4 linked regions of the Alligator mississippiensis genome follow. The protein of the gene in region 3 binds, or shares a complex with, the protein of the main gene of each other region. Links are inferred from orthologs where the notes say so. Each region holds a gene or a part of one and is shown on either strand. Other genes may lie near its edges. The genes, in order: SIRT3, NFKBIA, SFN and MAPT.

Region 1 (7,111 bases), on a different chromosome or scaffold from region 3:
CAATCAGGGTGCTGTGAGATCCTTTTAAGGGTGCCAAGGAACATTGGCTGTGCAAACATCTACCTAGGGTTCATAAGATAAACCCAGAGTTTTCAAATAGGAATCCAGTGTCAAAAACATTTCGACTTGTGGTCGCTTTGGGCTCTTTGCAACAGCAGAATTGTTGTTTTTTGTCTTTACTGAAAAAATGAGTGAAAACTAAGAGCTGGCATTTTCCAAAGGATGCCTGGCACCTAACAAGGTTGAGAACCACTAGTTCAGTCTGGTACATTTAATGTTTGTTGACATTTACACAATAATTATTCATGCCATTCCAAACAGAGGAGTGTACTTAGAAAGAACTGAAACACCTTCTTTAGCATCACATCTACAGTGACAACCACGTAAGAAAAACCAGCCGACTCACCTTAATGAGTCCATCTCCTTGGGCAAAGCAGGGGTCCTGCACAAAGTCCAACACCTGCAGAGTCAGCTGATGCCAGAGTCTGAAAACAAAACAAAGTCATCCTCAGCAAATATGAGAACAGTAAGCAACTACCTCAGACCTGACATCCACCGAAATGCCCTGCGTAATTATACAGCCCATTTCAGTGAATCTATAAATGACAACAGGGTCATTTCTAACTTTAATCATAGAATCGTAAGAGAAGTAGGGCTGGAAGGTTCACTCCAGAGGTCCAACCCCCTTGCCTGAGGCATGGTCATCCCTATCCAAACCAGCATAGAAACTACGTAAGACTACCCTCAACCCTGACACAACATAGACCTAATACCCTAACTTGCCCAAACAGGTAAAGCAGGGGAACCACGGCTGCCAACTTCCTGCTTCTATAAAAGGTTGCTAATATATGCTCCATAGATCCCAGATAGAAGGCTACACCCCGCCTTACCAAAGAACACAAAAGCCCCTGAGTCCGTACCAGTATGACCAGGGAGTACAATTCCTTCCTGATCCCAAATATGGGAATCAGTCTGACCGTGAGCAGAGGAAAGACCCTCCAGCCAGGAACCTCTGGCTTTATGCCCCAGCAGGAGCACTGGTGCACTCCAGTCCAAATCCCCAGCTTTGGCAGCTGTCAACACCCAAGGATTTTGGGGAAGGCTTAAAAACACCCTGACACGTGTTACAGCTCTTTCAGCTGCTAGTCTGAGCAGTCCAGTATCGCAGCCAGCTTGCAGGCTACTAGCTTTGTGTCCCACCCAGCCTCTTTTATGCTGGTTTGCTTTTGCCGGTAATCCCATAGCTGCTAAACCAGCCTCTAGGCTCCGAACGAAGGAAGAGAGCCATCTCTAGCCTGGCTCAGAGAAGCCTCTGTTGCCTGTGACGGATGACATCACAGTTTCATAGATGCTGGTGGCTAGAAGGGACCTTACAGATCATCAGGTCCAGCCCCCTGCACTTGGGCAGGAAAGACAGCTGGGGTCAGATGACCCCAGCAAAATGGGGGTCAAGGTGCTTTTTGAAGATCGCCAGGGTGGGTGACTGCACCACCCCTGGGGGGAGCCTGTGCCAAACCCTTGGCACTTGATGCGTAAAGAAGTTTTTCCTTATGTCAAACCGAGGGAAGCAAATCGGGTGAAGGCTCATGCAGGGCCCAGGGAGCAGGTGCCACTGAGATTTGATCCCATGTTGCTCAAATCAGAGTCCAGAGTGCTAGCCACTATGCTGGCAACCATGGGGCTGGTGTGCAGCCCAGAGTGTCACACTGAGCAGCTGGAAAGCCGGCACATCCTAGCCAGGGACAGCTGCTCTCCACTCCAGGGGGACCAGGACCAGCACCAGAGACAGCAAAGGGCTGGGTATCACAGACCGAAGTTTGATTTAAAAAAAAACAAAGTCCACCCCCACACACGCGTATGGCTGTGTCCATGTGCATGCGTGCACGTGTCGGCCCTCCCGTCCCCATCCCCATCCCCGTCCCCCGCGCTGCACGACGCGAACGCCCCGCTCCAACGTCTCCCCAGGGGAGACCAGCGCTCGCCGGCCCCCCCAGTGCGCATGCGCGGCGCTCAATACAGGGGGGGCTCAATTGGGGGGGTATTACCCCCCCGCCGGCGTGCTACGTCACCCCCCCCCCGCGCTCACTTCTTGTTGTAGAGCTCCTCCAGGCGGTGCCACACGGCGGCCTGGCCGGGCCCCGAGCTCTGGCTCTGCTGCAGGAAGCCCGGCACGTCCTTCATGTTGGCGGCGGCGGCGGCCGGAGCCGGGGCGACGAATTCGTGCGAGGAACCGGAAGCAGCGCTGCCGGAAATGCACACTCACTTCCGGCACGCTTTGCCTCACCCCGCCGCAGCTCAGCATCCCGTTCCGGCCTCCGCTGGCGCGGGGCATGATGGGTACCGTATGGCTCCGCGTAGTGCCGCCCTCAACCCCTCCCAACCACCACCCGCGGTAGCCATGGCAATGGCCTGGGCCTAGCGCCGCGGGCGGGGCGGGCTCCCCTCCACCCGGTGCTGCGTGTCCCGTGAGCGGGCGCTTTGATACCGGGGCAAGGCTCTGGCGCAGATCCAAAGCAGACCTTTCGAGGAGCGTGTCGCCCAGGACAATACCGAGGTGCTGAGAAGGGCAGTAAATGCTCTTGGAGGACACGGTTTACATAAAGCAGGGGCATACAATCAGTAAAATCATATTTGGCAGCTTTTCGTAGGGAAAAAACAATCGAACGCACAGCTCTGCAAGGGAGAAGTAATGGTGCAGTAATGGACTGGCAGAGGGAAGTACACAGGTAGTTTTGCAACATGATAAAATGGATAGGAGCCAAAGCCAGGGAAGCTCTTGTTGCGCCGATACATGGGCTGCCTCGCTTCAGACCTAACCCGATGACCACTGATAACGCCGCTGCTTGAATGTGCAGAGCCGTGATTGTTTCTCCGGTTGGTGGTAGCACACAACGAAAGCTCATCCTTTCGATGAGACAGCGCCAACGTCCAGACGAGGCTCTTTGGGTAAATCCGATATTTTTTATTACACCAAAGTCCAGGGGACTCATGGACACGAAAGACCCAGTGACATTTTGAGGGACCTGGTGATGTTTATCCCAATGTCCTGGCCATTTTCCTATCCAGGGGTTTACGTTCTGTCCAAGGTACGTTTTGTATGCCAAACTTCAAAAGTTCAGAAATCATGAGCCGCGACCCTCCAACAACTGCACACCAGCATGACATTATGAGTTATAAAAAATAAAAATTAAAAAATAACGGCCAACATATTTGGGGTACTTTTTAGCTGATTTCTGGCTTTTGTGCCTCTAGGAAGTGTTCAGATAGTTTCCTCCCCAACCAAGAGTGCAAGAAATCTACTTATTTTGAAATGAAAACTGAGATTCTCCCCAATCACTTGTCTCCTGCAACCAGGGCTGCTCAAATACCGAGGGACTCACTATCAAATCCCATTTTTATTCTTTCCAATACCAAATCAAATAACCTTGTCTACAAATATCTATGGGCTACATCACTTCAATTGGGCCAGTAGCCTACCTGCCCAACCCGTAGGCCTGGAAGTTCAGATACTCCCCAGATCCAGACGGGCCAGTCCCAGGCTCAGAGGCCTGGGAGTTCAGATGCCCTGCAACACGCTTGATCTTAGCCAAATAAAAACCCCAATATTTAGCAAAGCTCTAAATTCCTCCCCCTGAAGTTGCAATGGAGGAATGGAATGGGGAAGTTTTTCTTCCCTCCCTGCCCTGAGCACTGCTGAACAGGCAAGATGTGCTCCCCTCCCTTTCAGTGGTGTAATAAACACTTTGCAACCCGGTTGCCTCTGAAGGAGAGCTGCTCTGATAACACAGTCTATGATGTGTCTAACATAGAAGCCTTTGTATTAGGGAAATTATGGTAAAGACCTTCTTAGCTGTGCCTGGCTCTGATAGACTGTGAGCAAACAGACTAGACTGGTGGTTTGCCTTGTGCTCTGGATCCCCCTGCCCCAGCCCCGGGGTCAATAGTAATAGCCAGTGCAAAGGTTGCTCCTTGCTATGCTCCTTGCAGCCAAAAGGGCATTCAGTTGCCAGAGCCTCTAAAGGGGAAAGCAGAGAAGCAACCACAGGAACCTCCTTCGTTCTCAGCCACATTGCACAAGTCGTCGCTTTCTGCAACAAGGCGAGTGAAGGGGAATGAACCTGGGCGTACGGTTCAGAGTCCTCGCTGCTGGCAATGTGCTGCCTCCTGCGAGTCATCCGGGATTTGCAGGTAAACAGCGGATTCAGTTGAGACTGAAAAGTGCTGGAGTGAGTAGGACTGCAGGTTTCGGGAAGGCTGAAGATCAGAATGAGGGAAATGGTAGGAGTTTGGGGGGCAGCAAAAATGAGTAGATTGACAAAGTTCAGAAGTGACTGCAGGAGATTGGTGTTTTGACCTTAGAGGCCGAAGGGAGAAGGTAGAGTTCAGACAGGACTTGGGGAGGGTGGCAAGTGAGACTGCGGAGCATGGAGGACTGTAGGGAGTGTGGAGCGGAGAGTTGATGTGTGTTAGATCATTGTCAGTGATGTGCTATGCATGGGAGAGGGTTTTAACTCAGTAGCCCAGTGATTTTCAAGCAAGGTGCCTTGGTACTCTGGTGTGCCTTGAGATCCTCTCAAGGGTGCTGCAGGGTCCCACACAACACTGGCACTCTTAGGTGTCCAAATATGGTCTGCAAGAGAAACCCTGAGGTTTCTAATAGGAATCCACAGTGTTAAAAATATTCTGACCTGTTGTGGTCTTTCTGAGTTCTTTGCAACATAAAAACTTATATTATTGGTCTGTAGTAAAAAATCAGGTGAAAGCTAAAACCTGACCTTTTCTGAGAGGTGCTGTGAGTCTAACGAGGGGTTCCTTGAATCTAAAAAGGTTGAGAACCACTGCTGTAACCATACCTGATTATCTGAAGGCTCTTGGCCTAAGACATGAGCTCCATGAGGGTTTCTAGTGGTCCATAAGTTACTAAGTGTGCATGGAATATGGTGCCTCAAGGAAATGTCCACTTTGTACAAAAAGTGCCCCTGGTGGGCTTTGTTCATCTGAAGGTGCCTTTTTTTTTAATGCTGTGTACAAGTGAAGTTACACCTACATCAATAATACTTAATCAGTGCACGGAGCTGACTGTGTTTTCTCCGTTTTTCTGGAGAGATTCCATCTAATTGGGCCAAACCTCTCCAGTGAGTAGACTTGTCACCTGGCCCAGACTGTGGTATCTTTTGTTTCAGCATGCAGGAGTCTCTGGATATGCACTCAGGGAGATCATCACAGTAGGGTGCTGTCCAGAAATGACCCTGTGCCTTCCTTGGGATTTGGCTTCACCCTCACAAATGGACATTCACAGCAGAGGGGAGTTCTGGCATGGGCTGGAGAGAAGATGGCCTGTGCTTCCAGGGTGAGGTATGGCTGATCTCTCATTTCATACTGCTCGCTGTCCCTCTGCCACATAATCCTGACACAAATTCCCCACAAACCAACGTCCCATTATCTCAGGGGCGTATCCAGCTTTCTCAGTGTCACAGAAATACCCACCCCCAGGAGGTTGAGACTTTTGTCATCAGACATTTCGGATACCACAAAATATGTTACAGCATGGTGCTTGGAACAGGAAGCACCCATCATCTAAATACACAGGCTGCCAGGCTAGGTGAGGCATGGGACCTGCTACCTCAGGCATTTGGGGAGACTGTATGAAACAGAAAACAGGTTTATGGAGAGAAATAATGACTACTGCCAGGGTCTGGACACTGGTTTTAGCAGCTCAACGATCAAACAAGCATGGGTTTGGCAATATAAAAATAGATCATGAAGGCAACATTCAGCAGTACTGTGGCCTACTAACACTGCCATGAGTCATAAATCCCAGCAGCTTCCCCTTGGCTCTGTTCTCATTCCTAGATTTTCTCTGGATCAGCAGTATCATCCTGCACAAACAAATGCTACTTATATAATATGAGATTATAAATTCTTTCATTCCCTTCCACACATAAGGCTGAGCAGTAATGGTGCTTGCCATGTGCACACTGACCCTCGCAAGAGGCAGCCCTTGAGGGGACTCTAAAAGGGTCAAGGGTTTCCTTCAGGCCACAGTGGTAGTTCCTGCAGTTCCTAGACTGGACAACAGCTGTACACATCACAGCAGTATGTAACACAGTCAGGTGCTTCTTATGAGCTGTGACACAAAAAAGGTTTCCAATCTGTGTCCAACCAGAGGCTTTGTATGCTGATTTGGAGATTCAAAGCTTTCTTAATGCCTGTGCCTTCTCTGTAATTCACCCAAATACCTGTACTGGGCATGTCTACACGTGCATTAATGTGCTGTAGGTACTGTGCGTTAAAATTAGTGCCTGCAGTATCAGGTACTAATTGAATGTACAGTAACTGGTGCTACTGTGCAGTAGCATTGGCACACACCTTTTTAGTGACATTAATGTGCAGTAGACTAATTCTACTGCGTGTTAGTACAATAGCACGGCTTTTTCTGTGATGCACTAATGCGCAGTAGAATTAGTCTACTGCACATTTAGCATCTCGTGTAGACATGCCCACAAAGACATAGTGTGAGGCTTAACAACCATTCAGTGCCTTAAGGTCCTCAGGTAGAAGGGTGTGGATGTGCTCCTGAGAACTTAAGATAAGTTTTCTACCTTGGGTTACTCAAGAAAAACACACACATCTGCAGTTTAGAAGATCAGCCTTGGGCTTTCTCCAGAACTCTTGAGATTACAATCCTCAGCCCTTTTGTGATCTGCTGTATTTCTTTCTCTGCCCCTTGCAGGATCCCAGCAGTAAAACCTGTCTCCTTATCTGTTACGGCCAGAGGCATCTCTGGAATTAGTGGAGGGGGAGGTGACAGCAGGAAGCGGAAGCTCACCCTACACAATGTGGCAGAATTAATTCAGAAGAAAGAGTGCAGCAGGGTGGTGGTGATGGCTGGAGCTGGGATCAGTACCCCCAGTGGCATCCCAGATTTCAGGTAACACCTTGTTCCTCTTGCACGTGCTTATCTGGGCCATGCTAGAGATGGGATTTCTAATCTCCCAAACCCAGGTAACACCTGGAGCCTACCTCTCCACATCCCTCTGCTTCTCATTGGTGCTAGCTTGTGTCAGCCTAGAATTAGCTGCAGCATCTCCCAGCTACAGACAAAATCCCT
Region 2 (7,790 bases), on a different chromosome or scaffold from region 3:
GGTGCTTTACAGACAGTACACAAAAGTTTCGTCTTTGGAAAAAGGGACCTCTAGAAAAGCACGTTTGTAAATGCATCACCCCACATACAAATTCAGATTGCCAAGCTGTGCAAAAGAGGAGGCTTTACTCAAACCCTTCACTAACCTCTAATTGGCTCCTTTTTTCTAACCCTCAGCCAAGGCCAGGATGTATTGTGTAAATTGCCTTTTCCTGTTATGTTTGTTACCAACCTGCATAGCCCATGAGATTAAGTGGGAGGAAATGGTTAACAGATCTTGGCAGTGATAATCACAAAGGTCTCAGCAGGGACATAGTTGGGGGACCAACTCTGGTAAATTACAAGTGCTGCAGTCACAGCACCAGACAGTTCTTACTATTAAAGTGGAAATCAGGAAATCACAGTCTAATGCATTTGCTCATGGAAGTGGCACGAGAACACTTCATCTACCTTAAAACTGATGAAAATCATGCTGTCTCTTTTCAGTGTTCTAGCCCCCAAAGCTGCTTTAAAGTCTCATTCAGGTACTTTAAGGGAGTTAGAGTCAATACAAATATATGGTTTCTTTGGCACAGTGATACTAAAAATTGAGTTCTCAGGCCACCCAGAGGTGAACAGGTTTTACTGAATCCAGCCTTTAGGTATCATATTTTTTCTCCACTTTGTGTAATATTATTTCTCATGGATATATGTTCACAGAGTTGTTTAAAGAGCTTTGTACAAGTCCAAAGAGTCATATAAGCAGTAGCTTCTCCACAAAGCATTCCCTGTATTATTATCCCCATGTGACAGGGAAAACCAAGGCACTTAGAAGATCTCTGAAATCCTTTTCTGAATGAGATACCACTTCACCCTTTAGCCAGTTCATCATGGAAAGTATTGTACTGGTCTGAGCTGAAAATGACACCAGGTCAGAATCACCTCTCAAACAGGAGCAGATAAGGAATAGATGAATGTCACTGAAATTGTTTCATAGATGCTAAAATAGAGAAAGTGAGACAAGAGATAATCAAAAGAGGAGAGTTATCAGGATTTAAGATTAATTCAAGCTTGGTGTCAATGACTCCCATTCCCACTGACTTTGTCTCACTTGTACCAAGCCTGAATTCTCCTTCAGCTGCTGTTTCTCAGCATCCATAATTCCTCAGTGTCTTTACTCACTTCAGTTCTCCCAAGGTTACCCCATTGCATCGCGCTGCAGTTAGACTCTCAGCCCCTGAGAGAGCAGGAGTTACCTTGGTTGTGTCCCTGCACCCACCCACTCAGCTCCATTTGAAATCCCCATCCAAGTCTCTGTCCCAAACTTTAATATTGAGTTAGTAGTCTGCCTGTGAAAATAGGCATGCAATATAGCCCACACAGCTAAAAGTACAAATATTTGTTTAAGAAAATGGTGATAAAGTTCATTTGTTTCCATTTCAATCAATTATCCTTGCACCCAGTAAAGAAAACTTATAAATAACCTACTGGAAAAATGCTTATGCTTGAAAGAGTCAATATTCTGCATCACTGCTTAAAATCTTTTCTTTAATACAATTTTGTACCATTGTAAAACTGTATTCTGTATATGTCTTTAGTTGTGATAGTTATCTCATTTTAAATATCGCTCCATCCATCCATCTGAATTAATCTATTGTCTCTCATATACTGAGATTCTAACTTCTTTGAAGAACAGATGGTCTTTTGGTCTACCTGGCACAGTGGAGTCCCAGTCTGTGTTTGACTCCCCTAGGTTTAACCAAATATGCTATTACTACTGCTGCTACTATGAATAATAACAACAAATTTCAACCTCTCTCACTATGAACAAATCTAATCACAACATTCTATGCTGTGCGAGTCCAATCAAATCCCAAAGCTTCAATCACCTTGTTTGGGCTGTATTTAGATGCAAAAATTCTGGTCAGGTTTCCTATGCTGCACCTAGCTGGAATCTTCCTTAGATGAGCACTAAAATGCAAGACTATATTGAGTCACAGCTACCATATGAAGTACTTCCTCACCCCGCTCAGTCCCAACAAACCTTTTGAAATGATACTCCACAAAGATCCAGCAGATGTCACTATATGCCCTGACTAACAATCCAGCTGTCCTCTTTAAATTGAGGATGCCTTATACTTAGCAATTATAGGTGAAAGAAATCAAGTCTTGAAGCTGCTACTTAAGCTGGAGGCACTCAGCAACACAGATGTCTTAACAACTGAGTGAATCAAGTTAACAGAGAAGCTCAGATATATTATATGTAGTTAGAGCAGAGGTTGTCTTCAGAGAGCTCAAAATATCTAACTTCACATGCTTTGATGTTTGTTATGATCATGTAATGTGCAGCTCTGCACCTTTAGTACTGGAACCTCCAAAAACTAAACTTTTGCTTGTTTAAAGAGTTGATATGATAGCCTGAAACATCTGTGAGAACTTGGCATTTGCATTTCCATAGAGCAGGAAGTAGGTTAACCCTGATGTGACTTTCCATAAAGAAATAATTTTCCATTCTTCTTCTAACACCTATGTTTGCTTCAAACTGATGAAACTTACTTAAAGATGAAGACTTGAACAAAATTAGAATGTCCAGGGATTCAGTTATCTGTACAACTTCAGTTGTGGAAGGAAGTGGAGAATGTATTTTGCTAATTCCAAAGTCATCCATTTAAACTGGAATGTGAAATGTTAAAATTTATGTTGATTCTGGCAAAACTGATTGTGGGGTTCCATATTCTTCTTGTGTATTATTCCTCCATCATAACAACAAGGGCAAGATTCACCTTTAAACAAGAATCTTTAGTCTTTGTAGAGCAATGGTTTCAATTTACTTAGAGAGATTTTCCTTAAAAAATAATTTCCTGCTTAAGGATTTAAATGAAGAAGAAAAATTGTTTCAAGAAACACATTGAAGGTTCATGCCTCTTAAATTAAGAAAGAAACTGTTGTGGAACTTTTATGAACCTGCCCAAAGAAACCACCACTGGGTTCTCCAAGGCCTAGTGACGAATATTGTTACTTTTTATAAGTGTGTGGAAAAAGTCCAGTAATGTTACTTCTGGCCTGAAAATTAAGTTGGCGTATCATATGCGCCTTCTCTACTGACCCCCCACTTCTCCTTGGATTTTCTCATAAATGTTTTCACAGGAATGCCATCCCAAGGGAAGAAGACGAGAGAAAATTCTCAGATGTTATTACTCAGTGTCGTCAGCTACAATTGCAGAAAAAAACCTCTTGGAAAACCCCCTAAATCTGAGGAAAAAATGCAAGCTTTGTCAATGATCCCAGCCAAACTAGCTTGTTGAATTCTACATGTCTGCCAGTACGGCTAGAAGTATCTTTTATCAATCTAGGAGCTTTTGGTTTTGGTTATTCCTTTACCAGTGAATGTCACTGCACACAATAGATACTTCCAGCAAAGGAGAGATGTGAACAGCATAAAGGCTAAAAGAAGTCACTGTTCCCAATTTGAACAGCATTTGTTCTTTTGAATACATATGCTCTGGGAAAGAAGTGAATTTAACCTTTGACTGATACTAGACCTACAGGAATGGAAGTGGAACTCCTCTATCTATGCCTCATCTGACTGCATTGACGCTGGCTGGAGTTTTAGTACAAACTTCAGAGGGCAAAGGTGAATCCCCCTAGAGAGAGTACCTGTACCAAGTAGGTTGCACAAGTAGAGAAGAGTTTATAGTCTGCAATTGCGCAAAGTAGATCTCTGAAAAGCTTGTCAGACTCCACAGACAATTCTGAGGTCCGGGGTAGCTAGGCTTATTATCTGTGCAATCATTGTTCCATACATCTCAGTAGTGTCATTTGTCCTAACCTAATGAAACCAAAAGCCTGTTACCGAAGTACCATGTTACCAAACTGACATGGAACAGACTGGGCAGCTCAGGACCACCTGCACAACAGGTCAGTTGCTTAGCATCACGGCTGCCTCACAGCTCAGGCCCCTGCTGCAGCCTGAGTGGCACTCAGGGGAGCTGCATGTCACAGTGAGTTTGGCCAGGTCATCCCCCTGCTTCTGAGTGAGCTTTGTGACCAGAAGGGCAGCGCAGCACTGTACCTAGATTCCTGGCAGCCCTGGGCAAACTTTTAGTATTGGGCCCCCCTGTGCTAGAGATAATGATAATAATAATCGTTACTGTGCCCTTTCTGTCTGGGCCCAGTCGCTTGATTTGCCTATGCCTGTGTCCAGCCTTGAGGACAAGACATTGCTTTGGTGCCGCCTCCTCCAGAAAAGTCAGGCCTGAGAACCCCACCGAGGACCTCCGGCTGCTGCGCTAGCTGCTCCGCTCCCACTTGCCTGTGCCGGGCACAGAGTGGGCCCCGGGACGGGGAGGGGGCCCAGCGCCACGGAGCCCCCTGCCACAGAGGGAAAGCTTGAGGGAAAGCCCAGGCGCAAAGGAGGGGACACAGGGAGAGCCGGGGCCGAGGCCGAGCCGGGACGTCCTTCCCCTGCAGCTGAACAGAAAAAACCCCCAGGCTCGGCCCCGCCAGGGGATTCCTCAGGCGAGGCGCCGCCCTGCAGCAGCAGCAAGGCCAGGCCGGGCCGAGCACAGCAGGCCTGGCGGTGACTGCGCTGGAAATTCCCGGGCAGGCCCCGCCCCGCAGAAATCCCCCCGCCTCCGCCCGCGCCTATAATGCCGCGCCGTGGCCCCGCCGCCCGCACGCAGATGTTGGCAGCGTCGGAGCCGTGAGTAGCCGTAACTCCGCCATGCACAGCCCTACGTATTGCCCCGAGCTCGGCCTCGGCCCCGGCCTCGCCATGGTGCCGCGCAAGGAGCGCGCGGCGCTGGACGACCGTCACGACAGCGGCCTGGACTCCATGAAGGAGGAGGACTACGACCAGCTAGTGCGCGACCTGCGCGACATCCGCCTGCAGCTGCCCGCCGCGCAGCCCGCGCCGGCCCCGGCCTGGCGCCACCAGCTCACAGACGACGGGGACTCGTAAGTGGGGCCAGGATTGGGGTCGGGGTCGGGGCCGGGGCCCCGCGCACGGAGGCCGGGGCGGGCGGGTGGAGCCGCTGGAAAGTCCCTGGAGCGCGGCCAGGGCGTGTGGAAAGCCCCGGCCGGCGCCGGAAAGCCCGGCCTTGCGCAACGCGCCGCCTCACCGGGACTTTCCCTCCCCCGCAGGTTCCTGCACTTGGCCGTCATCCACGAGGAGCTGGCGCTGAGCCTGGAGGCCATCCGGCAGGCGCGGGCCGAGCCCGCCTTCCTCGACCTGCAGAACCACCTCAGCCAGGTACCTGCCCCTCCTCCCTGGGCCCGGCGGGTCGGGCGGCTGGGCTGGTTCGGGCTGGGCCCTGCTCTGCGTTTGGCACCTGGCTGATCCCACTCTTGTCCTGTTTGGCCCCCAGACGCCGCTGCACCTGGCCGTGATCACGGATCAGCCTGAGATCGCCGAGGCCCTTCTCAAGGCCGGATGCGACCCTGAGATCAGGGACTTCCGTGGAAACATGCCGCTGCACATCGCCTGTGAGCAGGGCTCCCTGAGGAGCGTGGGGGTACTCACACAGTACTGCCAGGCGCACCATCTGCACGCCATCCTGCAGGCTGCCAACTACAATGGTACGCTGCTCGCAGCTTACGCCAGTTCGAATAGACAGCCCTTAGAGAGGGCATTGGCTTTTTGCAACCAAAGGAGTTTTAGAAACGTGCCAGCCTCGTCATTCCCATTTCACAGATGTGGAAACTGAGGCAGGAATGGAACTTCCTTAAAGTCTCTCTTCAGTGGAGCTGGGGATAAGTCACAGTTCTGCCTGCCAGTCTTTGCTCTGTCCACTGACTCTTGGCACTTGAACTTCCAGCATCTAGTGCTGTGGGGATTTTCTTTTTGGTTTTTTGGCTTATATTATTTTAATTTTGACATTTTGGATGTTTTCTTGTTTGGTTAAACAAGCTACTGTGGAAAATCAAGATGACTTTTTTCAGTTTTTTGGGTTCTTTGTTGGGTTTTTTTTTTTGTTTTTTTTTTGTTTTGTTTTTTTTTAAGTAAAGCATCTAAGAAATAAGGTTCTTCAAAAAATTGATGTGAGCCTCCTATTCTATGAGCACTCTGGTTCACATAAAAATTTCGCCTTTGATTTGGAGCAGTGGATTCAAATACCAAAATATTATATAGGGTAGAAAGGAATTTAGATCTGAGTGAGTGATAATGTGTAATGGGGGAAGTAATTAATGTTTAAATGTGTTTGCCTTTCAGGACATACATGTCTCCATTTGGCATCTATTCAAGGGTATCTGGCTATTGTGGAATGTTTGCTGTCCTTAGGAGCAGATGTCAATGCTCAGGTGGGTATTTGAAGCTCTTGGTTTAACTGGATGTGATAGCACAGCCATAAGAACACACAGTTCTGTATTGTCACACTTAACTCCTGAGACTAAATATCCTATTTTATTTTTCTGAACAGGAACCTTGTAATGGCAGAACTGCCCTACACTTAGCTGTAGACCTGCAGAATTCAGAGCTGGTGTCACTTCTGGTGAAACACGGGGCAGATGTGAATAAAGTGACCTACCAAGGCTATTCTCCGTACCAGCTCACATGGGGAAGAGACAGCTCCATCATACAAGAACAGCTGAAGCAGTTAACCATAGCAGACCTACAAATGCTGCCAGAAAGTGAGGATGAGGAAAGCAGCGAATCAGAATCAGAATTTACAGAGGATGAAGTAAGTATTTATTTTCACCTTTTATTGCAGAAAGGACCTTCTATGCAAGTTGCCTCCATTAAAGTTGTTGGAAATATGCACACCTGATGCCCTTAAGTTTTAGGGTTGGGAGGTGATATTTTGGTGGGATACAAAATTTGGTCTGTTACCACACTGGATATAAATCATATACAATCAAGGCAGACTAAGAGGTTACAATAGCCAGCATTAGAAATCCAGTAGTAAGGGCTTGAGTACTAGACACCCAGTCCTATTGCAATAATTTTTCTTAAATGTAGATGTCATTTCTGGATCACTGTTTATGGGCCTTAATGAAGCAAAATTCACAGTGATTCCAAAGTGCTGTGAAATGTTGCACTTTTATTTCTTTATGATCAGGATCTTGTTAAGGGAAAGAAGAGTGATAAAACTAATGTTACAGTACAATACAGCCTTAAGAAATTATATGGTTGTTATTGAATGTTGGTGTTCAAGTCATCTCAGATTAAAGATTACATTCTGCTTACCTTAGTTGTGTGAGCAGTGATACTGAGGTTGAGACTAGCAGAGCTTGACCTGATTTTGCTTTGGGTAGATCTGAGTGTTTCCTATAAAAGTATTGCATTGACTTATACTCTTCCTTTTCCCTTCTAGCTGATGTATGATGATTGCGTTATTGGAGGACGACAGTTGGCATTATAAAATGGAGTATTCTCAGAAAGGACATGAGTCTGTACATATGTATAACAGAGACTTACTTTCTTTTAAAAAAATGGAGAAATGTGAAAAAAAAATACTGAAATACACTGTACAGCACAGAGCACATGACTATAACAGCAAGATTCATGTTCTGAGCTGCATTGTAATTATGGGAGAAACGTAGAAGATCAGTAGAAATCTGTGACGAATTACACCACTTCTCAGTTAACTGGTTGTCCTAATATATGATCAGTATGAAGACAGACTGCAGTTTACCTGAACATGCATTTGATATACAGGAATGTGTACACGAGGTGTCTAGAGAGCAAGAGTACAGTGGAATGTTTGCCTCTAAATGTCAGGACAGGTCTCTTTGTAGTCAAAGAGACCATCCTCTTTGACTACATTTCATAGATTTCTGTTGGGCTGATTATAATGCACTCTGTTGACTGAC
Region 3 (6,595 bases):
GCCTCGGTCCAGGGCTGCAGCCACCCTCAGCCCCCGGAGCCCCCGCGTCACAGGGCGCCGTCAGCCCTGGGTGGAGGAGCCCTTCTCTGGAGACCGGGCTCTGCGCAGGAAACAAGAGAAACGGCAGCTTTTAAAAGCCACGTTAGTGGGAGAAGCTTTGTGGGGCGTGTGTATGCATGTAGGTGCCTGCACACGTGTGCATGGGCCTGTATGTGCACATGGTGCTTGGGGCGGACAACGGGCTGGACAAAAGCAACCGATAGCGGCCCTGGAGGCGGGGGCAGGAGTCCTGCTTACCCAGAACCGAGACACCGGAGGCCCAGGAAGGCTCTGCTCCCCCATCCCCTCGTCGCTGTAACCGGATCGCCCGCTGTGCGGCTCTGGTGGGGTCCTTGCCTCCTGCCGAGGCCTGCCCTGCGGCACCTCGCTCCTCTCCCCGCGCCCCCACCCCGCTACCCGCACTGACAGGCAGCCTGGCATGCACAAGCCTGCCTGGAAAAGCCCCGGGCCTGTGCCGTGCCGAGACATGTGCACAGCTGGAACCCCCTCGCCCCTACCCAGCAGCAGAGAGGCATGTGCCAGGGGGCACGGGCTGCACCCAGCCGCTTCCACAGCACCAGGCCCAGCAAAGAGTAACGACCAGGACGACCGAGGCAGGGGGCAGGTGAAGTTTTATTGGCAGGGACAGGCAGACAGCGGCTATGGCAATACAGACACAGGCAGCACCACGAGTTTATCATTCTTAACCCGCAAGAAAGAATCCCTCCCCAGGCCCCTCACCTCCAGCTTTCTCCCACCAAGGCTCATGGCAGCGGCGACAGGGACCCCGCACAGCACGCCGCAGGAGCGATGGCCAGGTTCCCAGCTCCTCAGATTCCCCTGCTTAAACGCCCTGAAGAGTGGGGACCCTTCAGCCCTTTGCAAAGGGGTGCGGGTGGGGGGGGCCTAAGATGCCCCCTTCCATACACACCCCCCATGCTAACAATAGCATACAGGACGCTGGGCAGGACACCGAGTTAGCAGCGCTCTTCTGTAGCAACAACCACCCACCAGGGGTATCGTGGAAATCGGGATGGGGCCGGGGAAGGGGGTTTTGTCCCGAAGCTGCCTCGGGGGAAGGCAAGATAAAATGTGCGAATACCATACGCGCGGGCACGTCCCCTCTGCTAGCAGGATCCGGGCTGTGGAGCCGAGACACGTCTGCCAAAAAGGGGCCGAGAGGTGGGGAGCTCGCCGGGCCGCGGTTCAGTTCTTGGGCTCTTCCCCGGCTTCGCCGCCATCTTCTCCCGCGCACTCGGCTGTCCATAACGTGAGGTTGTCCCTGAGCAGCTGCATGATGAGGGTGCTGTCCTTGTAGGAGTCTTCGTTGAGCGTGTGCAGGTCGCCCATGGCTTCGTCGAAGGTGGTCTTGGCCAGCGTGATGGCCTGCTCGGGGGCGTTGGCGATCTCGTAGTGGAACACGGAGAAGTTGAGGGCCAGCCCCAGGCGGATGGGGTTCGTGGGCTGCATCTCCTTCTTGCTGATGTCCATGGCCTCCTGGTAGGCTTTCTGGGCATTGTCTATGGCGTCTTTGCGGTCATCCCCCGTGGCCACCTCAGCCAGGTATCGGAAGTAGTCTCCCTTCATCTTCAGGTAGAAGACCTTGCTCTCCGGATCGCTGGCTTCCGCGATGAGATGCTTGTCCAGCAGCCCGAGCACGACGTTGCAGACGTTCTTCAGCTCGCCCTCGATCTTCTCCCGGTACTCGTTCACCAGCTGCGCTTTGTCGTCGCCTTCCTCGGTCTTGTGCTCGATGCTGGAGACGACCCTCCAGGCCGAGCGCTGGCACCCCACCACGTTCTTGTAGGCGACCGAGAGGAGGTTGCGCTCCTCGTTGGACAGCTCGTCCCCGTGCTCCACCACGGCCTTCATGAAGTCGGCCATGTCCTCGTAGCGCTCGGCCTGCTCGGCCAGCTTGGCTTTCTGCACCTGGTGGTTTCGTGCCATGGCTGGGAGCGCTGCTGGTTGGAGAAGGAGCAGGCGGTTGTCCTGGGAGCCCTCAAAGTCTGTCTCGGTGCCGCGGACGGGATTTGCTTTTGGCTGAGCGTCTGAGCCTGGAGCAAGGGCTGGGTGCCGCTGAGAAGCCTGGCTGAGCCCCTCCTCTACTTCCTCCTAGCCGGGCAGCTCCTTAAAAGGCAAACGGCAGTGACTCACCTGGGAGCTCACTAACCATGTGCCAGCGAAGGGAGGAGACATCCAGGTCCAGCAAGGCCTCCACCCTGCCGCCTGCCAATCACAGGCTGGCCTCTGCACTCCCGGCTCCGGCACTGTGCCCCCCGCCCTGCCCCACCCGGCCTGTCGCCTCACCCTTTCTAGGTGGTCGGAGAGCATCCTGGCTGGACACGCACCTAGAGATGGGCTCTTTCGGCCGTGGGAGCCTTGCTCCGCTGCTCAAGCGAGATCAGCCCTCAGGGAGGACCAAGCAGATCTAACCCCCATTTCAGATGCCAGGAAATCTTTCACTGCCGGGGGACTTTAGCTGCCCCCTCTGCCAGGTGCAGATGGTCTCTGCTTAGCACCCCTAGCTCCCCAGCAGCGAGCGGCTATGCAGCTTCAGCCTGATGAGACATACCTTGTCTGACCGCAGAAAGCTAACACGATGCAGCCACTTCAAATACCAAAAGGGCTCGTTCCTCTGGGAGCTGGGTCTTTGTGCAGCCGGGGAAACCGAGGCAGAGAGAACAAGTGACTTCTCTAAGTGCAGAGAGGGCTTGTTTTATAGGTGGACTAAGACTGCACGAGCTTCGGCTCCCGCTGCTGCGCTCAGATCACATCACATCCCCCCCCCAGTAAGCTCGATGCCCTCTTCTGCTGGGCCCGTGAGCAGACTTGCATGACAGCACCGGCTCAAAAAGCCTTGAGAAGCATGTGGCCTTCCTCCAGGGGAAAGGGGGAAGGTTTGTGGGCAACAGGCAGGGCATAAGACACCAGTCATGCTGCGCTCATCTCTTCTACCCTGAGAATAAAGCTGCCTATAGAGGAGAGGAGCAAACCAGGAGCGTGTGACTGAATAGGGTCACCCCAGTCCGTTTGCTCTAGTTTTGGGGACTGCTTCAACACTAAGATGCTTTATCCTCCTCCTTCGGGAGGGACAGCGCCTTGGACAGCCCAGCCTGTGTACCAGAGGTGGGTGCATGTGGCTCCGTGCAGGGAGCAAATGGGCGTGGGGGAAGCGGGTGTCCAGGCCCATCTTAGACCGTCCAGGGCAGGGATTGGAAAATGCAGCCCAGGGGCCAGGTGCGGCTCGCCAGGCTATTCTATCCGGCCCGCAGGGCCACTAGCGCAAGAGCCTGGTGGCTCCCAAAGCCAGCATCCTGCCCCAGGGCCTTGCGTGCGAGGCAGGGACAGCGGCTTCTGCCGAGAAGCCAATGGTTTCTCGCTTTGCTACCGGCCCGGCTCAAAGCCTCTTTGATGAAATAGGGAAAAGGGACCGTCTGCGGCGCTGCGCTGCCTCTCGCCGTGATGTGCCCTGATTAGAATCTCCTCCTCCAGTTACGCTGCAGTTTCACTCTCAGACTGATTAAGCTTGTTCCCACTTGCTGGGAGCCGACTGCTCCTTTCTGCTGCTGCCAGGACGCGGCGTGACAAACTCATTGCGCTAATCCTCCACGTTATCCGCTGCGGGGAGGGTGGGGCTGGCAACTCAGCTGTCCCACTGCGCCGAGGAATTGTTCTGGCTGCGTGACTCACGGCGCTACTCATCCGTGCGCAGAGCCCTGGATTGTCTCCCCCCAGCTGACGTCTGAGCCCTTCTCTGCTGAAAGGCCCCGGTGACACCCCAGTGAGATCAGACCAGCTCGCTGCTGATTTGAGGGGAATGCCGTGACCTAGCTACAGCGCTGAATCCCTCCTGGATGAGCCAGGGGAGGCTGAGCCCCGTGACGTGTGCTTAGCTTTCCTGGGTGCAATGGGTGCAATTAGCTTAGAGGCCTTCCCCGCTCCCTGAGTAATTATTACCAAGGGATCTGAGCCCCTCCCGGCACCCCGGGGCAGAGCGGGCAGCACAGCGATCCCTGCTGTCACACAGACGGGCACCGAGGCCCAGAACCTGCGAGAGATTTCCACACGCAGCTCCCACGGCCCAACACCGCAGCCTGGTGCCAAAGGGACTCGCCCGAGCTCATGCATGAAATGTGTGTCAGAGCAGGGCTTTAACCCAGTTCTCCCAGGTCCCACCTAGTGCTGCACTCCCTGTCCCGTGTCCCCCCGTCTCTGGGGCCTGAATGCTGCACTGGGGCCCCATGGGGGTGACGGGGACCCTGGTGCTGCAGGCGCCCAAGTAGCCGTGCGCTGGAACCAGCAATGAGTGTTTCCAAAAGAGATGCCGGCAAGTAGCACCCGGCAGGTGCCAGGCTCTCTATGGGGGGAGCAGCCTGCGGGCTGTCAGAGGGGATGCCAGGCCACGTGGTGGGTGCCTACGTGCTCTAGCCACAGCCGCGTCATTCCTTCCCAGGTGTGAATGTCCCCCCAGGTTTGCTTCCCCTTTGGGGGCTCGCCCGCCGCGCGGTAGGGTCTGCGCAGCCTCCTGCCCTGTGCAGCTGACTGAAGAGGAGGCAGGCGAGGCGCCTTTCCTTCAGGCAGCTCTGCGATCCCTTCGCTGCACCAGGGGCCTCGCGGCAGGGCACATGCTTGCTGCATTCGGCGCTGGAGAATTAAACTGAGCAAGCCTGTCTGCTCCCAAGCCCAGCGGAGAGGTAAGGAACAAGCATGGGTGAGCCCCAGTCTCTCTTCCCTGGCTGGAGGGAGGAATTAGCTCCTTCCTGATCTGTGTCCCTGTTTGCTCTGAGAAAAGCCGTGGCGCTGCCGTGGGAAAAGGAAGGGCCCCGCTGCAGTCCGGCAGCCAGTGCCGATGCTGCCACACGCGTCTGCCTCCCGGCTGGTGGAACTGGACCTAACCCAGAGGAGCTGTTCAGAAGCCTCCATTTTAGCAGAGGATCAAGTTAACCCTGAAGAAAAGGGGCTCTCGGGCCTGGAGCTGGTCAACTCGCCTTCCCGTCCCTCCCCTCTGAGGCCAACGCGAGTCGCTGGGCGCACGTGGCAGGAAGAACGGGGCCAGGATGGCACAGGGCTCAGCATGACAAGATGGGCTTGGCCTGGGCTGGCCCCACTTCACCTTCTCATCCCGGGCAGCGCATGGACCAGACTGGGGCACGCCCTTCACAAACAGCTCAGCATGAACGGGAACAATAAGCGGCAGCAAACGCATCAAGAAGGTGCCCAACAAATTGACCCAGTTTGTGCACAGATGTGTGCGCAGAGGCGGGCCAGGCTACGCCCCGTGGCGGTGATGACATTCAGTGGGGCCCGTGGATCAGGCCAGCTCCGAGCACCGACAGCCAGAGCTGCAGACCCGCTCTGGCATTAACACAACAGGCTTCCTACTCACTCCCTCCCGCCCTGGCTGGAAGGCCCGCAGCCCCGCCGCGCCTTGCTGCACCCACCCCTCAGTCCTGCGACGTGCCAGGCTCCCCGGCAGCATGCAACACGGCTTCCCCTGCTGCTCTTGACCCACCCTCGCTCCTCTCTGGACAGATCAGCCCCTTGCCACAGTTATACGAAACTGCAGCTCTCGGGTCCACCAGCAACTTTGCAACAGGGCAGTTGAGAAGGAAGCAGCTGGAGACACCTGTCCCCAGTGTCACCGATTTCAGTTCATAGACATTAGGGCTTGAAGGGACCTGGCAAAATCATTGGGTCCAAGCCCCTGCCCAAAGGGCAGGTAGGCAGCAGGGGGTCAAATGATCCCAGCAAGATAGTTGGATGAGTTAAATAGATACACCTGGGTCTGAAGCAACAAAACCAGCAGCCCCTCACCCCTCCTCCCCCGCCTTCTCTCCCTGCACTGAGCACGCAGGTAGTTTGGGGGAAAAAAAGGCGGACTGATTCCCAGGTGCAGCTCACCCTGCATCCGGTTTCCAGGAAGACCCAGCCTGGCTCTGAGCTGACTGGGAGCACCTGGGGTTTCACAGGGATGAGGCCTGAACAAGTGGCAAAGCTCAGCACCTGACACTTGCACCTAGCCAGGCTCCGGGTGGCTGGGACCAGCGCACAGCAGCCCAGGGAGCTAGATATTCCTGGCTTGCAGCCTGAAATCACTGAGCAGGAGACTTCTCATTCACACCCCACCTCCCCCCAGGGAACACGTGTGCAGTCACGAGCGGCAGAGAAGGGGCACACCTTCCTGGAGGAACAAAAGCCAGGGGTCCGGGTACAGTAAATAGGAGAGACTTTATTGTGTTACAAAAGTAAAAGGCCTGACGCGGTTCCAGTCCCCCGGCCTGTGCGGGGCTGGCAGGAGGCAGGGGCTGGGCCGTCTCGCACTAGCTGCTTTGTAAAGCCTCGCACCCGGTTTGCTAGTGGCCAGAGCGTTAGTGCATTTGCTGCTAGGCACAGGCTCCCGGTAACGCTGACTGCAGTAGCAGGGGGAAGAGGCTGGACAGGGACGGACGCTAGGCAAGCTGCTGCTGCGCTCTACTCCCTTCCCTGAGAACGGGAGCTGCCCTAAGACAGCGGAAAACGCTGGGCTTACTGGCGAGCGCTGCCTGAAAGGTGACCT
Region 4 (7,781 bases), on a different chromosome or scaffold from region 3:
GACAGATCAGGAAATTAAACCTGGGTCTCCCAGGTCCTAGGCTAGTCCTGTAAACTCTAGACCACCCTTCCTTCTCTACACACTGGGAACTGAACCCAGATCTTCCATGTGGGAGGTGAGAATTTAATCAGTGAAATGCAAAATGCTTGTCTATATATTTGTTAATATTATGTTCTTGCAGGTACATGGTTAATGTACATGGGTCTTTGTGATGGATATTATTAAAAAATTATAAGTGAATGACAGGGAAATTCCACTTGGGCTCTAGGGACAAACTTCTCAGGCTATGCTTTTTAGGTTTATGAACTTAACAGAGATCCCTCAATGGAATTATTGTCTGGTATTTCATGGTTACTTATTCCCTGTAATTGGATTTTGTGGAGAAACTGCAGGAGGGATCCTTTGTTAGACTGGTTTAAGGTTTCTTTTTTTTTTCCCTGGGAATCTTTAAAGAGAAAATCAAAAGAAAGCTTATGGTCTCAGAACAGATTTCTGACAGAGGTCATGCAGGGGAAAAGAATTTATGATGAAAAATAGAAGTGAAAAGCCAGAAGGAGACATGAGGGTTAATCAGATACAGAACTCCCTTTTTATATATATTTTTAATTAGGGAAGTATAGTCTAGTTGTTAATGAAGGATTGGAGACAAGATCGCCTGGGTTTTCTGTTCTCCAGGTTGCCCTTGTAGTAGCGTGCAACTCTGGGATTGATTTTACTTGGGTTAGTAAAACAGGTCAAATTGCCTAAAACTGAATCTACACTTGGCTATAACTGTTGATAAAATGTGCTTAGTTCCACTGATTTTAAAACTGTATGGAAAAGTTTTCTAGCACATGCATGCCTACCGTGAAGCAACTGGCAGTGCTTTGGAGGCATAACATAAAAATTCCTATTAATGTAACCATTAATTATATATTTGAAGGTGTCCAAAGCAAAATAGAATCTGTCTTCCAAAAGCAGTTATTCTCTGGTATCAAAATTTAATTTGTCTCTGTTAAATAATCTGGTCCAAGGGCTGTCTTCAATTGCATGGACTTCTTGGGTGGACATGTGCTGTATCTGTTAATTGATATAAAAGATATGTTGATCTCACCATTGTCATAAGTTGACGAGTGCTTCACTTTCTCCAAGCCAAAGAGGTCTAGACCCATCCCCTTTTTTCAATATTCTGGCTATTTAGATGATCTGTTGGCTGAGACTAAGACCTATTGGCTGAATATCAATGTTTTTTCTTATGGTTGCTGATATACTCCCAGGCACCTTTCTCCTCCAATATCCTTACAAGGCATTGTACTTTAGAGCTGGTCTTCAACAGGTAAAGGAACAAGAAGAAAACTGCAATGCCCACTGAAAGAAAATGCATACCGAATTCAACTGATAATGGCAGATGTTTCTATAATGTCCGTGGGCTAGCAAGACTAAGGAGATTTCTTTGTGTTATGAAGTCTAGACTAATTGAAATGTGCTATGTGATAGGCAACCTCTTTAGTTTTGATTGCCTTCTAATGGAAGCAGGGTCAAATATTTCTCTCTGAAGAATTTTCCCATTAACTTCAGAGAAGACAAGAGTAATTCATGACAGATTGTCTGGTACCTTCACATCATATCAGTTCTGGAGATTGGTTTACATTCTAGTCTCGCTGGTTTTGAAAGTGCTTGGTGACATTAGCTTAGCAAAACCTTGCTTCCTCCTTGTGGAGAAAAGTCCATACCTTCCTGTAAAGGGAAGACACCTGCCAATTTAAATCAAATGTGAGTTTGGATCTTGCTCAAGAAACCATACTCTTCATACTGAAAAAATAGTTTGGTGATTTTTTAAAGAATGTAGTAGTGATCCATCTTCAGCATCATCTAGATTCTTTGGTATTTGTGCATATTATGGCTAGAAGAAACCATTCTGATCTACTAGAACCTCTTGCATAACATAGGTGTAGAATTCAACAAGAATTCCTGCCTCAGGCAAATGTGTTGTGGTTAAACTAGAGAATATTTTTAAAAGTCATTTGATCATGGTTTAAAGACTTCAAGTGGAGAATTGACTATATGTCTGTGGAGCTTTATCATTCTGGCTTCAGATCTAGGTGTACCATAGAGACCTTCACTGATATCCTTTGTCTGAAGATTTGTTTTTTCTTTGATGAATAAGAGGATAGTTGACCATAATCTTCATAACAGTTTTGTCTTTCAGCAGATCATGGTCATACTTGATCAAGGTATGTATGTATGTGTGAGTCCTGACAGGAAAATGGATTGCTTTTATAGGGTATGTCTGAATGGCATAAGACAGTCATAAAGCTAACTCAGTTTTTTTTGCATCAGTGTCAGTGGTTGGGGGTGGGGGCAGCAACTGCCCGCAGGTGCCGGTGACAGTGTCGGCAGCACCTTTTCATAGGGGTGCAATGCCATGCTCAGGGGGTGCACATGCACCCCCTACACATCGCCAATGCCCATCACCATTCCAGTAGTTTCACCCACTGTCCTTTCAGAGGGTTTGCCTCTGAAAAAGTTAATGGCAGTCTCCTCTCCACCAGATGAGGTCTGTCATTTCTTTTCCGTTGTCCTCTTCTGTTTTTGTGTAGTACCAGTACATTTCACTCAGCCCCATTTTAATACAGTCCTTGTCTGTGGGGTCCAAGTGTCTCTTGATGAGCAGGTTCCTGGCTTTTCCACAAGGCATACCTAAAGCAAGAGATAAACTGATGGGGCCCCTTGTTGTTTGGTCAAGTGTTTGTAGAGGACCACTTCTTTGGTTAGGGTTCTGAAACCTGTCACCACCAGGAGGAGTGCACAGACTTTCTTCCATACTAGTTTAGAGCTAGTTATATATCTGCAGGGCACTGCCTTGAGATGTATAGACACAACCATACCAACTCTTTTTTTTTTTTTTTTTGGTGAGTTGCAAAAGGACTATGGGATATTGCCCATCCTCCTAACAGTTTTTTGTTAATTAGGCCCTTCAGTATTCTGCTTGTTGCAACTTCTCTTAATATCTGAGTGATCTAGAAATTGTTAAGTATGTTGAGCTGTATAGTTGGTATGCTTGTCTTCCTTACCTTACACCTGAGTTCTGCGGTTTTCTTCCTCTTCCAGTGCCTGATCAAAAAAAGGTCTTGGATGAAAATAAACTGTTTTTAAGGCAAATGGAATGAGACAGATAATGTTTGCTAACAGGGGAGAAGCATCTTATAATGAATGCATTTTCAGCCAGGTAGGTAGGTCTCTTTTTATCTTACGGATCCATAATGTTGACATGATCACTGTTCCTGTTTTGCCAGGGGAGAGGAGTATCCTGAAGTGACCCGAATTACCTTCAGCAGGTCCAGATACTACATTCATACTTTTGATCTGGTGTAGCCCTTATTACAGTTGTCCAGATCTTTGTCCCATCTACCTTGACTGCTGTTGCATGCCCTGATTAAATATGTCCTTGCATATCTTCAAGTAAGACATAGACAAGTTGGAAAGAGTTTAGTGAGAGCCACAAAAATTATTAGAAGTCTGAAAAACCTGGCATACAAAGAAAGCTTGCAAGAACTGGGATTATTTCATATGGAGAAGAGAAAATTGAGGAGTGATTTGATCTGGCTTCAAATACATGAAGTATTGTTATAAAGAGGATGGCAATCTCTTGTCCCCTGTGGGACAGTCTTAAGAAATAAACATCTTAAATTGCAACAAAAGAATTTAGGTTGGATGGTAGGAAGAACGTCTCTAGCGTAAGGGTAGGTAAGGACTGAACTGACTGCTGGGGGGGGTTGAGAAATCTCCAACACTGGAATTTTTTAAAGAGCCAGGTGAACCAAACACCAGCAGGTCTAGAGAGGGATGATGCTGCTTCCAGTGGGAGACTGGACTAAATGACCTCCTGAGGTCCCTTCCAGCCCTGATTTTCTATCATCATCATCACCTAGCAAAGGTCAGTGTTCAAGCTCCTTATGTGAAACAACAGTTCTCAGGGAGAGACGTGCTTAATAAAAAGTCAGTGAGATTGGAGCCCGCAATACGTTTGCCTCACCTGAGGCAGGTAGAAAGCGGGTGAGGTGTCTGCAAATGAATTGTGCTCCCATCATAAACACGGCGTGCCCCCCGGAGGCTGGGGGGGGGCAGGTGGCAGCAGTAGCAGCAGCGGGGGTGTTGTGGCGGCAAGCAGGGAGCTCCCGCAGCCTGCCACAGTGGTGTTGGCGGCATGGGTGGCTGGCAAGCCCTGACCAGCAATTGGCAACCACCCAGAGATGCCACCAGTGGCGATCAGGGACCACCAGCAGACCGTGTTGGCGGTGGGGAAGGGGGACGGTGAGCAGCGACTGCTTGCAAGTGCCACTGGCAGCATCAGTGGTGCTCTTCGCAGGGGTGCACTGCCAATCTCAGGGGGTGCACGTACACCTGCATGCACCCCCTACGTATCACCAGTGGCTCTGATGAAACGCGCCCTTGCCTAACTTCGAGAAAGAGCTGCACGGCCCCCCAACCGGGGCTGCGCCCGTCTGTGACGAGACCACCCCGGGCTGTGGGGCCTTTTGGAGGCCGCCAGTGACCCTGTCTTGGGGCTTCCAGCCGCCTAGAGCGAGGCTCGGTTTCGGGCACGCCTTGCGCACCTGCGTTTGTGCCCCATCCTCGGGCGGGGAGAAGCCGCTTCTCTCAGACAAAGGAGCAGGGCGGAGAGCCGCGCTTTCTGCACATGCGCCCGCGTCCAGCGGCGGCGGGGTGGGGTGCAGCGCTTGTACGCACGCGCACTGGAGCGCTCTTTGGCGGCGCTTCTGCGTATGCGTACGCGGCTTGGCTGTGGTGCTCGTGCGCGCGGCTGCTCCCCCTGGCGGCGGCCCGGGCCGGCGCGGGCTCGGCGAAGGTTCCGGAGCGCGCGGCTGTCACTCCCCTGCTGCCGGCTGCGCGCGCCACTCCACCAGCTCCTGCAGCGGCCGCGGGCAGGTGAGCGCCCGGGGCGGGGGCACGGGCACGGGCACGGGCACGGGCACCCACACCCACCCCCACCGCGGAGGCTTGGGACTGCAGCCTCTGCCCGGCCCCAGCCCCAGCCCAGCGTCTTTGCAAGGGGAAGAGAAGCCGATAGTGGTTGGGGGGGTGCGCCTCAGCCCCGCTCGCTGCGAGACTTTCCCCCTCCAAAACGGGGCGGGGTGCGTGAGCCCCAGCCCGCCGGCGGGGCCCCCCCTCGCCGGGGTCTCGGTGGCAGAAGGCTTCTGTTGCCCCCGGCAGCGGTGGGCGCCGCCTGCCCGCCCTGCTGCACCTTGCGCCCAGGCAGCCGTGCATTTCAGGGCGGAGGTGCCCCCCTCCTCTCGTTCCCCCTCCTGTCTCCCAGTATTTTGGGGAGTCGTTCCCGGCGGCAGGGTGGGTTTCCTGGCGGGGGGACGGCCGCGGTGGTGGTGGTGATGGCGAATGAGAGGTTGGCTGTGGGTACTGCAGTAGGTGTGGATCTGGAGAGAGAGAGAGAAAGGATGGGCTTTTTTTTTCCTTTTTACATCCGAGGTGCCATATTTTGCAGTCTGTCACATCCTCGGTATTGCAGGGAGAATCCTGCTTTTAACGTGGGGGGACGCTTGCCTTCGGGTTGTCAGGTGAAGAAATAAAAAAGGTACTCCCTGCATGCCGCTGTCTCTTTTTAATCGTAGAAATCGAGGGGGGAGGGAAGGAGAGAGATTTAGGTCATCGTGTCTAGGAGTTAGGTTGCTTTGTTGCCCAGCGCTGGTCAGCATTGTGTGATTTATGTTTATAATTCTTGAGCCTTAGGTTTCCTATAGCCTTGGGGGAGCACCCCTTTGAATGCACAGTGTCTGAATCACCTTATTTGATGCAATTGATAATGATAGTAATAGCCATGAGTAGGGTTACAATAGGCAGGCAAATCCCTGATAGGTATTTTGCTCCTTTCTGCTTTTTTTTTTTTTTTTTGGGGGGGGGGTTACAGAAATGCAAGGTTCACTAGGATTACGTATGTGATTTTCTCTCTTGCATGCTTTTTCTAAATCACTGTCTGAAATGGTCTTGTAAAATCCCTGAGTATACTGTATAGCAGCTGGTCACGCCCCTGGTATGGCAGCATAAATGGATGCCTAGTGTGATTCTCATTGAATGGGTAAAGATTGTGGTATATTCCTGTAGTTTAAGGAGAGGAGAAACCCCTTTGTCTGCCAGTATGTGTATCCTCATTCTTCACAGAGTGGTTTTCTCTATTATGCTAAAATTGATCTGTTTCTGTTACCTCTTTTTTTTCCCCCATATACTGTTAATTACTTCTAACTGTGGAATTACCCTGGACACAGGAATGTGGGTCCAACCCCATTTCTAAACATTGTGCCACCCAAGGTCATTTTCCATCTCTTATGAGACAGTCTTCTCTCTCTTTTTTTTTTTTTTTGCTTTTTCTGTTTGTAAATGGAAAGGGAAAGCCCTTGGCAGATACTGGCAGCCACTTCATTGTAGTAAGCACAAAGCATGTTGCACCTGGTCACCTAGATTTGAACTGTTAAACTCATCGGAAGCGGAGACGGCTTATTTGAGACCAAGGAGGTGGAATGCTAATTGTTTTCTTCTTTTCCAAAGAATGTGAGTGTCTGGGAGGGTTCGGGTAGGAAAGAGATGTGGGGTTTTTTGAGGTACTGTTAATCACATCAAAAAATAGAACGATCCCCACCTTGCCTCTCTGGGAGGCAGCTGCCATCATCCTACATGTCGTTTCTCCTTCCTTTGGCTTACCGAACCTCTGTGTGGGGTAGAACTCCGGTGGCAACCAAGACTTAGCCTGTCATTATGAACTGCCTAGAACGTGTTGCAGAAACGGGTTAAGGTTTCTGTTACTTCAGTGGTCTGTTCAGAGCATATTGCCTGACTGATCCAATTCATCTACCTGTGCAGTACACTGGCTGACTTTTTAACAGCTCTGCAAAGGAGATGAAAAGAAGCTCATTGGCATGCCTGAAATGCAGACATCAGGTACAGATTTTATTTAACCTCTGTTCCTCATAAATCAGATTTAAGATGCTTAGCTTTAATAATCTAAATTTTTCATGCTGCAGTCAGGCTCTCTGCAGCTTTTTGCACAGTGGACAATGAAAAAAGGCTTGTTAATTTCCCTGTTTATGGCCAACTTCATTACAGGCTCTTGTAATAAGGGTGGGGAGAATATTTAAAAACCATTGTCATTGGAATTTAAAAATAAACTATGGACACATTTTGTTGCTTTTTTTATAATGTATCTACAGTGCTTGACTCGACAAAATCTATGTGGAGGGGCAAATTCTCAGTCATTGTCTGTGCTATGTGCAGTTTTTCCAGGTGAGCTGTTTGGACTGACCAGAAGATGGTCCATGCTGATTTTTAGCTAGAAGTGCTGGATTTTCTTGCACGTGGTTTTCATGGGCAAGTTGAAGGCTGGGATTTGGATGGAAGAATATGTGCAAAGATGCTTTACTTGAATCCCTTCCCATCCATTTTCTTGTTCTTTAGTTGCAAGCCTAGCTGTTTTCACCCTTTTTGAACTGTCTTCAGTGTAAAATAAGGATTGAAAGCATGCATGTATTTTAGCCTTCACAGTTTAAATGCTGATGAATCATGACATTTGTAGTCTCAGCACTCATGCTAATGGACAGCATGCTATTATATCCAGATATGCCATGGGCTTGGTTGACTAAGTTTCTGTCTCTGTAAGTTGTTACCTATCTGTAGTATGGGGTCCCAATTCTGACGAGTCCTATTTTTGAGTATTGTACAGATATGTCTTGAAATGAGAGGCTTGGGCAACTTGACTTATTCAGTTTATTGGAGAGAAG

Evidence for each region.
Region 1: the proteins of SFN (region 3) and SIRT3 are in contact, whole or in part, in a crystal structure (PDB 8ANC), measured with the Homo sapiens proteins. The link is inferred for Alligator mississippiensis from reciprocal best matches to the Homo sapiens genes SFN and SIRT3. Residues at the interface, in NP_006133.1 of Homo sapiens: Asn42, Ser45, Val46, Lys49, Arg56, Lys122, Asp126, Arg129, Tyr130, Pro167, Gly171, Leu174, Asn175, Val178, Tyr181, Glu182, Leu218, Ile219, Leu222, Asn226, Leu229, Trp230; in NP_036371.1 of Homo sapiens: Arg99, Arg100, Ser101, Ile102, Ser103, Phe104, Ser105, Val106, Gly107.
Region 2: the proteins of SFN (region 3) and NFKBIA are in contact, whole or in part, in a crystal structure (PDB 6Y1J), measured with the Homo sapiens proteins. The link is inferred for Alligator mississippiensis from reciprocal best matches to the Homo sapiens genes SFN and NFKBIA. Residues at the interface, in NP_006133.1 of Homo sapiens: Glu14, Cys38, Asn42, Val46, Lys49, Asn50, Gly53, Gly54, Arg56, Lys122, Arg129, Tyr130, Pro167, Gly171, Leu172, Leu174, Asn175, Val178, Leu218, Leu222, Asn226; in NP_065390.1 of Homo sapiens: Gly62, Ser63, Glu64, Pro65, Trp66, Lys67, Gln68.
Region 4: the proteins of SFN (region 3) and MAPT are in contact, whole or in part, in a crystal structure (PDB 4FL5), measured with the Homo sapiens proteins. The link is inferred for Alligator mississippiensis from reciprocal best matches to the Homo sapiens genes SFN and MAPT. Residues at the interface, in NP_006133.1 of Homo sapiens: Asn42, Ser45, Val46, Lys49, Arg56, Arg60, Phe119, Lys122, Arg129, Tyr130, Glu133, Gly171, Leu174, Asn175, Val178, Tyr181, Glu182, Ile183, Ile219, Leu222, Asn226, Leu229, Trp230; in NP_058519.3 of Homo sapiens: Arg528, Thr529, Pro530, Ser531, Leu532, Pro533, Thr534, Pro535.

Annotation. Positions count from the first base shown.
Region 1 is NC_081825.1:179,439,664-179,446,774, reverse strand, and holds the start of SIRT3 (NAD-dependent protein deacetylase sirtuin-3, mitochondrial), read left to right. Parts: upstream 1-3,833; 5' UTR 3,834-4,112; coding exon 4,113-4,188; intron 4,189-5,183; coding exon 5,184-5,355; intron 5,356-6,733; coding exon 6,734-6,931; intron 6,932-7,111. Other genes in the region: PSMD13 (26S proteasome non-ATPase regulatory subunit 13), read right to left, coding at 407-485, 2,087-2,181.
Region 2 is NC_081825.1:256,790,559-256,798,348, reverse strand, and holds the start of NFKBIA (NF-kappa-B inhibitor alpha), read left to right. Parts: upstream 1-4,620; 5' UTR 4,621-4,701; coding exon 4,702-4,934; intron 4,935-5,120; coding exon 5,121-5,229; intron 5,230-5,344; coding exon 5,345-5,555; intron 5,556-6,189; coding exon 6,190-6,278; intron 6,279-6,397; coding exon 6,398-6,658; intron 6,659-7,291; coding exon 7,292-7,339; 3' UTR 7,340-7,790. UniProt on the Homo sapiens protein: Inhibits the activity of dimeric NF-kappa-B/REL complexes by trapping REL (RELA/p65 and NFKB1/p50) dimers in the cytoplasm by masking their nuclear localization signals.
Region 3 is NC_081829.1:2,829,677-2,836,271, forward strand, and holds SFN (14-3-3 protein sigma), read right to left. Parts: upstream 2,147-6,595; 5' UTR 1,987-2,146; coding exon 1,246-1,986; 3' UTR 655-1,245; downstream 1-654. UniProt on the Homo sapiens protein: Adapter protein implicated in the regulation of a large spectrum of both general and specialized signaling pathways. Binds to a large number of partners, usually by recognition of a phosphoserine or phosphothreonine motif.
Region 4 is NC_081827.1:159,259,788-159,267,568, reverse strand, and holds the start of MAPT (microtubule-associated protein tau), read left to right. Parts: upstream 1-4,748; 5' UTR 4,749-4,763; coding exon 4,764-4,926; intron 4,927-5,479; exon of another isoform or gene 5,480-5,587; intron 5,588-7,781. UniProt on the Homo sapiens protein: Promotes microtubule assembly and stability, and might be involved in the establishment and maintenance of neuronal polarity.